2 linked regions of the Arabidopsis thaliana genome follow. The protein of the gene in region 2 interacts with the protein of the main gene of each other region in a pairwise test. Each region holds a gene or a part of one and is shown on either strand. Other genes may lie near its edges.

Region 1 (8,867 bases), on a different chromosome or scaffold from region 2:
GAAGACGAATTCGGACATAGAAAGTGTTACAGAGTCACTAGATATGCGTTGAAAGAAAGAAAGAAAAACTGATCAATTTATGGAATCAGGTGCGAGATTTGTGGATGGGAAATTATTTCACTCTTACACAACTCTTCTTTATATATATGTGACATTTCGCTTTCTCATTCAATTTTGTAATTTTTCTCTTCTTTTTTTTCTTTCTGATTTGAATGTTTTTTTGCCTTGTGCTTAAGATGTCCAAAAGGAAGAAGAGAATAAAGTTTTTTGTTTTCTTGGGAAAAAAATGAATATTAATATCAAATACATTAGGATTTGAATTAAAATTATTCGAATAACTGTAATGAAACTTACTCTTTTTTTTTATCGGAGAACGGACATGGTTCGACGTGGGAGAACTCAAGAGTCAAACTTTACATTGCTTTTCGGGTTCTTCTCCATTTGTCACTTTGCTTCAAAACATTCATTGGTTCACTTGCCCTTTTTCTCTTGGAGTTTCAACTGTTATTTAATAAAATCATCTCTTTTGGTTTTTTGTCAGAAAAGAAACAATATCATCTTTCTAAAGTCATAATCTAAGATTTTCTTAAATTGTTTTCTTTGGTCACATATGAGATTTTCTTTCATGAATATCATCTTTAAACCTAATTTCTTTTCTAAAGTTGCAGATTGTACATTTGGGTGAACAAGCCAAAAATAGGATAATATCGGATACCAAGCTGGTAAAAGTATATAGATTTTAGAATTAAAAAATAATGTTTGTGAAATGCAAATAAGAGATATGATGATGGTAATTTGTTATTAAAATAGGATAATTTATTAAACGAGTAAAATTCGGATTTGAGTAGTTTTAAAGAATTTATTATTTATTATTTAAATGGGTAGTTCGAACATCTCAAACTACAATTTATCACATTTGGAAGCAGTGGAATAATGTTCTTCACAATCTCACAGTCTCGTCTCACCATACCACTTTTGAGCTGATGGATAAAGATATCATAACTGTAATCAGTCCTCGAAGACAAATGAAGCATTTTAGAAATTTAATGCAACTTTGGATTAGGTGATTTCACTTTGGTGTCTTCATAAATATTTGTAGCCTTGTTTTTTGACTTAAAAAGTTATAGGTGTTACATTTTGTAATCCCTAAACTTTTCATTTTTAATGATATTTATAGTTATATCACAAAAAAAAAGTAGTTGTAATAGTAAAGATAATTAGCGTTTCATAACTATTTAGAAAAGTTGGAAGATATAGATCAAGTAAAGGTATGATCGGGTCACGGTCGAGCCCGGACATACATGCCTATGGGGGGGCGACCAACGAAAAATATCAGCAGTTTCATGTTATGTGTAGCTGCTGGTGAACACTTGTAGCCTTATAGGTGTATTAATGAGTTTGGGTAACATGTAGAATTGTAGATAGTCGCGTGAGAGATTTTGGTCTTCGACCGTCCAAACATGGCCAAGTCACGGTCCAAAAACAAAATTGATTGACTATTATACGAGAGCATTTGGCAGATGCTCGTGTTACGTTGAAATTGAAAATTCCTTTTTAATTTCGAGTGCGATCGTTTATTAGTCCTTTTCTTTTAGGTGTTAAGCAAATTAATTATCATTTTCGTTTCATTTTCAACGTGCAATAGAGATGCAAGGCTACACGTGTCTCAATAAATTTGGACCAGACATTGATGCTGACGTATCCCATCCTCTTTTAATGTAGGTAAAATGGAAACTAGATTTAATAAATGGTGATTGGTGCATGTTTTATCTTATAAATTGTAAAGAAGGTAAAATGATTTTGTTTACTTTATAAAAGAAACTTATTTATTTTATTTTACTTCAAACAAAAAATTGACTTATTTAACCATTTGACTCATTTAAATGTGTTTATATACATCTTAATCACTACCTTATACATCTCCCAACCCAAGAAGACCTCTCTTGATAATCATTTATCTAACATAAATACACACTAGATAGATGATAAAGATGTTCCATGTGGTGATCAACTTATCAGTGTCCTTACCAATCCAAAGTAAAGCATGATGAGTTTTCCTGAGCTGCTTCGTCTCTGGCTTGGCTCAAAATTGCCACCGTGACTATACATATCGATTTTGGATGCAAGATCCCCACTGAAGGATTCTGATCTTTGACTTGGATTATGGTATGCTTCAACGGTTATACTTATACTTGACCAAGTCTCCGGTTGGTGAAAGACTTAACGGATCCCTAAGATACTTGGTTCGATTAGTGTCCTTTAGTGTGTTATTGGGTCTAGTCTCAAAAATCAAAAACTACAATGGGCTTTAGCTATAATGGAATTTTTTACATTGCTTTCCTCTTTGCATATTCCAACAAAAGAAAACATCTAACTAATAAAAACCTTTTTTTTTGAAATATCATCTAAAAAATGTGATACACGAAGACATGTTACATACTGTTGGTATGGGGATTATCCGTTGCTACTTTTTTCATCATTATGTAACATGTCTTCGTGTATCATATTTTTGATCCACTGATATAAGAATTTGATATCTACATCATCAATTAATCGGACCACTAACATCTAAAATCGATATTAGCTAGGTATTGGAATATTGTCCAATCGGAATCTTAATTAGTAGCATACAAAAAATTCAATCATCCAACCATAAACACATATACCGATCTATAATGTAAATTATTTTATCCGCCAAATGCATGTTAAACAATTTGTGTACCATATATTGATCATTAATCATTGCATGCAGTTACTCGTATCTACATAGAGCTTTTGCATACATTGATCTATCTGGCATGGATATTCGTACCGGCCTTTTGTTAAGGCTTGGGCTTCGTTACTTCGTACATACATGGTAAAATACTTTGTCTCCGGCATTGAACTTACGACCATTTATACGTGATAAAGCATTCGCTATGATTCGTTAATACATGATGAATGAAAGAAAAAAAACGAATTTTTAATATCAGTGGTGCGGGAAGAGCCAAATCATTGCACATAGTAGATATTTTAGTAATCGTAACATCTGCATTGTACTTAATTAGGATAAATAAGCAAGATTGGTGTTGCCAAAGCTTATCCCTAAATGGAAAGAGATAAGCCAGCATTTTAATAACTTTTAATCATATCATATAAATTAACAACAAAAATGTGCCGCCCAGTGACCTAATTATATTCCGCCACGCCATAGTTTGTTGCAATTCGTAATAACCACGTCGTCGTATCTTCATTAAGCAAACTTTACTTACTCTATCTCTAAAGTTCAGGAGATTTATTTCTAATAATACAGAAGATAACATTGAATAATCAGAAAGTAAACAAAGAAACGAATCTTTTGATCTCTACGATCACAATTAGCGCTTATGCACTTACTATAATTAGAAATGGTCTATCAAAATTCGTTTCAACCTCCGATTTAAAAACTTATTTATTACCAAACCCATTTGTGATCTCTGACCACATCTCTGTCAAAGTGATGAAAATAGAAAAGATCAAACCGCATAAATATTTATATCAAGATCGATTACATGTTAGAGAAAAGACACTATTATATGATTTTAAACCGGTTAATGCTCATATTTTCCCAAATTAAAGTATCCTAATTCGGTTTAACCCGAATCTTGAATCTTTCTTCAAGAAGATGAAGACCCATCACCATCATTGCTGTGAGTGTTCAGACACAGGCCATGTTCGATCTCTCTGATCTTGCCATTGAGAAGTGAGTACTTGTTGTTATGCATCCACACTTTAAGAACTCCTCTCTCAATCCCAACTTCGTTACAAAACTCTCTCACCGACTTTTCATCACATCCGTTGATTTTCCAACCAGCTTTCTCTGCGAAGGCTCTCATCTTGATCTTCTGCTCCGGCGTGAATTTGGTTCTTGTTCGTTTCCTCATTGCTCCTCTTGAACTGTTCTCTGACCTAACCACCGTTGGATCTTGATCTGACGGTCCAGGGAAACCGGAGCTGAGAGAGAGAATCACGTGATGTGGAGGAGCTGAGGTGTAGTAAGAGCAAGGAACAGGAGAAGACACGTGACGAGACGGCGGCGACTCAGTGCCGGAGGGAGAAGAAATCGGAGGCGCGGTGAGGAAGTTGAGATTCTCGGAAGGGTCACGGCGGTGGAAGTTACGGTGGCAGCCACAAGCAGCGCAACGGAGAGAAGAAGGATCGGTGGAAGTAGCCGTGGGACTCGGCATAAACTCGCCGCAACCGTCGAGAGCATGGCCGCCGAGATTAGCCGCGTGGTTTTTCAAACACTCTTTGTAACAAACACCCATTTCTCCGGTGACAGTTAGTTCTCCGGCGATGGGAAGAGAGTTTAGAAGTTGTTGTTGTGGTTTGGAAGACAAATCCATAGCTTTTGTTTAGTTCTGTCTTTATAGTGTGTTTACTTAAATCTTTTGCTTTTGTGATTAATGAGAAGATTAGGTTTTGTAGTTTTATTTTATTTATTAAAAAAGGATAATTATGTAAGTGCATGTGACGATGATGTAATTATATCGGTAAAGAACATGGCAGTGATGAAATATAATTAGGACTTGGAAAATAATAATAAGTGCTTACTCACAAACGTCCAAAACATACAGCAAAAGAAAGAAAACACTCACTGTATATCAATGAAAATTCACAACTTCTTTTTTACTTTTTTTTTTTCTTGTTTTGGTGAAACAGAGATTTTTTTGAATATTTTAGTCACTAGTTTTGATATCTATTCATACGTTATATAGACAGACTATACACTTTGAACCTGTATAAAATATTGAATCTGAGGTCTTATCAGAAAGCAATGATTTTACGGGACATTTGTAAGATATGGGTTTTCACTTTCACCAGTGGGTAACTTGTTGTGTAAAAGAAATAAAAAAGATGAATAATTTCTGAGCGTGACATAAAATTTTAATTAATCGAATATATTCGAAGGAGAGGATGGGATTAGTTGGAAGATTTGAGTCCAAAGTGTATACGTGGCAATAGCCCATTACATGCATCGTACTAAAGGACAATTACAGCTGCCCTGCAGTTTCATATTCCACTGTACATATTACAGTTTCTTATTTTTAAGAGTTTACGTTACCACCCCATACTTCTGTTAATTTCACTGTATCACCCCTGCATTTTTATACTAAAACGTTTTAATCTTTTCAATTTTGATTCTGTTTAGGGACCATTTTCTTATCTAGAGGTCTAAAATCGTAAATTTTCCTATAACGATAATCTAACTAAACAATAAAGTCAATAAAATTTCTTACTAGTATAGGTATTACGTGTTCTAGTGAAATATTTGACTTATGCTAATGTACTAATTCGTTCCAAAAGGAAAAGTGCTAAACAACTAGAAGATTTTGTAGATTACCGAAAACACCTCTAAAAGAACTTCTTTCGCACGAATACTTAATACTTGACTCAATCGTGGAGCAAAGAAGAGTTTGTTGTGACAATTGCCAAACTTCATGTTTCGTAATTAATCATGAAATTTAAATGTCTAAATTCCTTAACCACCCTTTGGAAAGACTCTTATCTCTTACCGACCTTTTATTCTCACTTCTTGTCATTAGTGTGGCGCCGAAATTTAGTGTTCTTTCGCATTTTGCTTACGTTATTGATTAGCTTTTGGGTCACAATTATGTGGTGTATGTCTTCAAGTCTTCCTCTTCTAAGTACCCCACAATTATTTTGAATCTTCATTAGCCATTTTCCATATCGATTCTTATAGGGTTTGTTTTTACAACAAATATAGTTTCTATCAAAAAAATAAAAATTGAAGGAACATTTTGTGACTAGTTATTGTTACTTTTATGATGATCCATTCATGAAAAAAATGATGAACCTTTTCTTATAAGTTACAATGTTACTACATGTGAATGTTATTGGTAAGATCAAACTGCATGGCTAATTTTGTTATTAATTATAATTACTAAGGTCTTTACTCTTTAGAATTAAAGTAACAAAACAAATCAGACATCAACATTCATTTCGTTAAGCTTTGGATACTCGTTTAATTAACTTAAAATCTTATTGAAAGGCATATAAATTATTCATTAATGTATAGTTAAGAGTCTGATCCCTGAAATGAGACTAATTAAAGCATTGTTTGCGAGGAGAATAAATGAATAACAGTTGGTGTTACGTTTTGTCGTTTATCATAAACCTAGTCACCAATCACGCTTAATTAGAATCCAATTTACAACAATCGGGAGATATTTGACCATACAATAAAAATAATTAAATAAACGTATTTATTGTTTTACTAATAATTCGTTGACAGAGACTTTGATTTAACAATTTATTTACTCGTATCACAATTAGAATCATAAAGACGGATTAGAACAATCTCCTAACGATCTTGTCAATGACCGAAATAGCACGCGCATCCCGCAAACCGGCCACTAAGGTTGGAGAAAAAGTCATTTGTAGCCGAAATTTTAAATGTCATATGATCATGGGGTCATTTTTGCGTAACGTTTCTATCTATGTATATACCTATTGAATAAGTAGGTAAATGACACAAAGTAAGACTTAATTAGATAAATAACAAATGCTAAAATTCACTACTAGAAAAATAAACAGAAACAAAGACTAGATAAAAAACGATAACTACCGTAAGCAATTTGTCTCTAAAGAGACGTGGTCACAAATATGCATAGCTAAACCGGAGATGCAAGGATACAAAGAAGTTAGTTTTTCCAAAGCTACTCCAAAGTATGATGTTGTCACTTGACTGGTTGTGAAAAGCAAAGTTGCAACATAATAAAGAATGATTAAATGGAACCAAAATGCGGATACAAATTGCGTATTTTGTAAAAATCCGTTGGAGACGAGAGAGCATTTGTTTTTTCAATGCCAGTATTCGAGAAAGGTGTGGGAAGAGCTGATAACTCAGACAAAATAGAAGGATATCACGAGAGAGCTTGCGAGTAAAGATCTTGATTCCACAACAAAATTTATTCCCAAGTACTGTTTCAAAACACGATACTCTTTATTTAGTGATAAAGAAATGAGAGGAGGCACGAGACCAATCTTCGACCACGAAGAAAATCGTTAAATTGATTGACAAGAACATGAAATCCGTTTGAGCGTACTAAGAAGAAGAGGTGAAGATAGATCATAGAATCTCTTAATAATTTATTTTAAGAAAAATTTACATTCATATGTATCAATGTTTTTTTGTTTTGTTTTTGAATACAATTTAACATTAGATTCAAACAAGATACATATTTTTTTTAAAAACTATTTTTATATTTCCATCATTAAAATTGTATAGTAAAATTATAAATCCATTTTATTGATGGACAACGATAAATCTATTAATTTATGCAAATTTTTTCTTAAAGTTAAAAGATGGATTTAACTTTAATCATCGAGCACAAATCAAACACATCAAGGCTGGGCAGGATAAAAAAATATCTAAAGGCCTAGGCCCAAAGAGAGTTATTTTTATGAACTGGGCCTAACAACTAAACTAAGCTCTCTGGTAGCACCGTTAGGCCCTCGGCGACTGAACCGTCGTAGCGAGCCGTTCCTTGCGGCTAGGTGCCAATGATTCTCCTCCCCACCGTATGAGGAAACTGCTGATCCGGCGGCGGAGTTAAACTCGCCGGAAGATGTATTCGGAGAATAACTGTAAGTCCTCGTATTCCGCTGGTTTTCATGGCGCCTAAGTAATACTTCGATTTTGAGAGGTTGATCTACCGATTATTAGTTGGATCGCATCACAATGTAGGTATTAGTTCCACTAAAATCTTCATGTGATTGTAAATTTCTTGAAGGTTGATCTTAAGGCTACGTTCATGAAGAATCCTTAGAATTCCAATTTCTTAGATTTTCATTTTCACTCAAATGATAAGTTTGATATTTGTTAGAAAGACAGAATTGTTTACCTTTCAAGTGCAAATGTGATTTGTGTGAAAATAGAGGTTGCATAGTGAAGTTGTAGCAAAATCAAAACTTTTGAGATATGTTATATACATAGGACATGTTTTGGTGGGAGTCAAAAGCATTGCAGAAAGAACAAAACTTATACGAACTAATGCAAACAATAGAGTGGGGACTTGGTCAAAGAAATATCTTGAAAACAAATATGTATTCTCTTGGTGTATCTGAACAGATAATGCTGTTCTGCATAATCTGATGGCTTCACCATATTGTGTGTTCTTATCAAAACCTATACTTGAAAAATAAACCCTGAGAATAACCAACTAACCTACCTCCAGCTTTGATAAGGTTGATTGTTATGCCCTTTTCTTCTTCTTGCGTTTCTATAGTATATTGCCTTTTTCTGTATTTGATTTCTCTTGCGCCGTTTAAGAAAATGGCTGAGCTTTGTTGTGGATAGGATCTGATCCTCGTCTTACACGTCTCTTGCTTGATTTGAATGAGTCTTCTGTCTTATTCTTTCGTTCTTGTGTCTCCTCAGCTTTGATTTTATCTTTGTTAACTTCCTCGAGAACGCGTCGGTTTTTATTGAGCATTTCTTGATCTTCAAGGGTGTGTTTGAATTGAACACCGATGCTCCTGAGCTTAGAAATTTCCTCTGTCTGAACTCCTGCTTTTTCTGCTTGTGTTTCTTTGAGGAAAAACTCTCTATGTCTCATGGCTGAGACATTATATCTGTTGTCTGCTAGTAATCCTATGCAGACGAGAAGAAAAAACATTGATCTTGTACTGGAACCCAACATTTCTGCTCTTAGGCAGACAAGAAGATTCAGAGTATCTTTCTTTTCTTCAAAGAAATGAGAAGGTTAGGAGTTATGAGATTATAGCCCTTCTGAGTTCTGATTTTGTGTGTGTTCCTTCCTGTAGATATAGTCATGTTATATATCAGTTATTGGGATTTGGAGGAAGCTTTAAAGTGTAAAAGC
Region 2 (4,268 bases):
CCATTTGTCTTATACGGCTATATGCAATAGTATAAAATCTAAAAAGTGTTACTAAAATAACTCTTTAATTTTTGCTTCTTTTTTTTCATACGAAAACTCTTGAAATCAAAATATCTTATATTCTTATTGTGTGTATTCATGATAATGAACAAATTTTAGAATTTTGGATATAAAAATAATCAGATTATACATGAAAATATATAAAAATTGATATTTAGAGTCAAAAATGAATCTAACAATAAAAATGTAAGTACATAAGATGAGTCTAATTTTACTAAGTATAAAATAACAAACAAAAAGTAAACATAAATTAGCGACAAAAATAATTAACATATTTTTATCTAAAGAATTTTTAAAACAAACCCACGCGTAGCGTGGGAATTCATCTAGTAATATAAAAATAAAAACATGGAAAGAAGAAGAGAAAAAATGAAGAGGAGCTCTTAGATAAGAGAATGAAGAGAGGTTTTTAATAATCAAGTAAACCACCTAAGCCACATGTCACTTATACATTGGTTCATTTTTTTCTTAAACTTAAAATTTATTTATATAATAATATTATAATAAAATAATCATTGTTATTGTTGTTAAGAGGTTTTTAATAAGAGCTTATTGTTGAGGATGCTCTTACTTTGTTTACACCTGAAGACTGAAGAGCAAGAATCATATCAGTAAAAATTGTTGAATAAGTCCTTTAAAATATAGTATGGTGGGGGTAGTTGTATGTATAGAAAGATTACATGACCCGTGTATGTTATGATACACAGTTTTTTTAAGCTTTATGTGATCGATCTTTACTATCCATTTTTGGATTTTTCTTTTAATAATGTATGTAAAAGAGAAAGAGAGTGGGTGAAAAGAGTTAGAATATTGGGGTCCCAAAAAACTAAACTCAAATTAAAAGACCATGAAACACCTTAACCAAAAACAAACGTCTTTGTTATTGTTTTGTAAGTTTGAAACTAGCATAGAAAAAATTAACTAGTTTCCACTTATATCTTCCAATGATAGTAAACAATGATTACTTACGATATCCAATTGATTAAGCTAATATAATACTAGATCTATATTAATATTAATAAAACATTCACTTGTAACACCAACAAAGAGCACATGCAAAAGAAGACAAAACCATGAACTAAAAGAGAACAAACACCAAAATTTATAACCCACATTTATGCATATATTACCGGCATATATTATATAAATTCCTTTATAAATTATCTAATAAATAAAAAAAAACTACATAATAGAGCAAGCATTAGGATTATCATCACTAAACAAAGAAGTATAAGAAGGGTCATCGTAGTAAACAGCCATCGTCCCGGTGGTGACGTTTGGGTCAACTTTTCTGACGTAACCAGGCGGTGCTTTCTTATCATAAGCCTGAGCTATGTACGGCTGAGCCACCAAGTTGTACGGTACGTACGGCCATATCTCGGCTTTCTTCCCCGTCGCTTTAGCCTTCTTCAGCACCTTGCTCGCATCCGCATAACCACTCACTGTCACCTTCTGTTGCTTCTTGTTTATCTCCACCGTTTTCACTCCTGAAAATATATGAAGGAAGATTTTTCATGTTATATATATGCATGCATGATGATTGATGCATGTATTTATATAAGTTTTAGATAGGAGTAAGCAAACACATCTCATAAGGGACAGTAACACAAATTCGGACGAGAATTTTGATTATAAAAGAAGAAGCTAGTTACCTTTTAGAGAAGAAAGAGAGTTTTTGATTTTGAGGACACAACCATCACAATCCATCCTAACTTTGAGCTCTACTGTTTGAAACTGCTTCTTCTTCTTCCTTTTTCCATAACTATGGCTTCCTCCATTCCCTATTAGCTCTGATATATACTCCAACGTTCCCCCAACTCCCATCTTGTTGATTTTATCTTTGACTTGTGTCTTCTTTTTATCAAGAAAATTCACAGATAAAGGCGATTAGTAATGGGTATAATTCTTTTCACTCTGGCTCTCAATATGTGTTATGTGTTTGTATAGATATTTGTTTTGGTTTCAGTTTGCAATGAGTTGTTAGCTTGGTTGCCTCGACTTATAAAGGCCTTAATTTGATATTTTAATAAAGAATTACTTTTGTGTATATAATTGTATTGGTACGAAAGAAAAAGTATGTTGTTGTGTTTATAATTGACACAAATTTGGCCAACTTTATAAAAAATAGAAAAAGATGTCTTTAAGAACTTAGACCGTAAGCAATATATATGCCAATTGCCAAAGACCTTGTGGTTTAGTTAAGAAGATATTTGATGGGAAAAGTGGAACTAAAGGGATATATACGCTTTAAAACCATACTAAATTCAATCATTTAAAGTATTTTTGTAACCAATTGTTTTTTTGGTTCATATTTGTATCCAATTGTTGAACAAATGTATATATGTTACTATTTTAACTTAGCATATATACGAAGGTAAGCTTTGTAGGGAAAAGGGAATCCATGTGATGTGAATACAACTAAATCATGGAATAATAACTTTAGGTATTTTTATTTAAATCTTGTTGTTCTTCACAAGGAAGACAGAAAGAAGGTGAGAGAGCCATGCATTTATTAACGAATTCATACTAATTTATCTAAAGCATAATTAATAGTCGGTTCATTATTAAATTAATTAGGATCAATGATCAAATTTAGCAAAATTTAAAGGTGATATATAAAAATAGCAAGAACCATCGTGGAGATTTATAAAGTTAATATTTACTCACTACGAGACAGCTTCACACGTATGGGGAAGAGATCTCGAGCGTTCAATTGTATACGTGGCAATATGACGGCGCCGATTGGAATACGCGTGTGAGGCTGTCTCCTTATTGGAGGAGTTGTGCCACCTCCCCTCTCAACTTAGCTAGCTGTTTCATAGTATGTATTACATTCTCTTCACGTATTCATAATTTTACGTAATAATTCAATAGTAGATATACAAAAACTCATATAATTATCTGGAATGAAGCTAGGGAATATTTTCAACTCCTCAAAATTGAATTTGTATGTTTATTATCGTCCAGCAAATACAAATACGTACATGTAATTAAAGTCGTTCTTTTTATCTTGAATATAGGGACAATTTTGTTTCTTTCGTCTATCAATAAACAGAACTTGTCATAAATTCGAATCTTTGCCTTTTTGGTAACTCATACTAATACCAACGGTTAGCTGACATAATAAATTGTAGTTATATGTATCTATGAATATATGAAGGGGACTCCACTCGAATAATTAGTGGCAAGTTAGTTGACAAGAATTTATAAATTTTCTGTTATATATATAAAAATATAGATAAGAATATGAAGGTGACTCCTCACTCGATCGAAATAATTAGTGGTAAGTTAGCTGACAAAATTTTATAATGTTTTGGAGTTGTCGAGCAAACCTTCAACGTTCGGTACATATAATAACAAGTTTATGCACTCTATTTAAAGACTGTCGATAAGAAGTTTCCGGCAGCCGTTAGATATTTATTTAAATGTATTTCCTAACTCCTAATTGTATTTTATATGGCATCATTGGCATGATTCTATACGAGTTTATCCGATTATCAAAGTATAAGGTTTTTCTTTTTAACGACCAGAGATCAAACTTTATACATCAAAGAGTTGAAAACTTTCTAATGTGGACAGGACAAGGTATCAATTATATATCTGTCTTTAAATGGATAAAAAAAAGATACATGCATGACCTTTGTTTTGTTGGGTTTAGTGTGTTATCTTTCTTAGATTCTTAATTTGGATTTAGGATCACAACAAAAGTTGCTAAAGAGAACTCACCGAAAGTGAATGCGGTGTCGATTTTAAAATTCATCATCTTTTCTGATTTCTTTATCCTTAGAAACTAATTTGCATTTCCTTCCAAAAACCGTTTCAAATAGGAACCAGTTAAGATTGTAATATTTCTTCTCATTTAAGGCAAACGAGAGTAGTAACTACTTCAGGGAGTAGTATTCTCGCGCTCGTGTAGATGATGAAGTTTGGCCCGCAACACTAGCTAATGTTGCTTGTACACTCTTTGCAAGCAATGAACAATGTTAGATTCCAGGGCACTAGTATGCACATCACACCTATCTGGTTAAGAGGTGTTCAATAGTATTCGGCTTAGAAGTAAGCTCATGGGCTTTTTATGACAGTTTTAAAATATGAAATGCTACAGAGGGATGATATATTATAAGCCCAGTGATATACCACATGATGCCACATCAGTACAGCAACAACATTCATCACCAAATCAACATCTCCTGATCCCATTCCAGACA

What was found. The genes of interacting proteins can lie anywhere in the genome.
Region 1: the proteins of AT4G39700 (region 2) and ZFHD1 interact in a two-hybrid assay, tested with the Arabidopsis thaliana proteins (one study listed by BioGRID).

The regions. Positions count from the first base shown.
Region 1 is NC_003070.9:26,177,967-26,186,833, reverse strand, and holds ZFHD1 (zinc finger homeodomain 1), read right to left. Parts: upstream 4,679-8,867; 5' UTR 4,365-4,678; coding exon 3,636-4,364; 3' UTR 3,288-3,635; downstream 1-3,287. Other genes in the region: CLE45 (CLAVATA3/ESR-RELATED 45), read right to left, coding at 8,310-8,684. UniProt on the Arabidopsis thaliana protein: Transcription factor involved in the up-regulation of several stress-inducible genes. Acts as a transcriptional activator by interacting with MED25 and NAC proteins. Involved in increased drought tolerance.
Region 2 is NC_003075.7:18,421,881-18,426,148, reverse strand, and holds AT4G39700 (Heavy metal transport/detoxification superfamily protein), read right to left. Parts: upstream 2,041-4,268; 5' UTR 1,885-2,040; coding exon 1,713-1,884; intron 1,548-1,712; coding exon 1,243-1,547; 3' UTR 1,040-1,242; downstream 1-1,039. UniProt on the Arabidopsis thaliana protein: Heavy-metal-binding protein.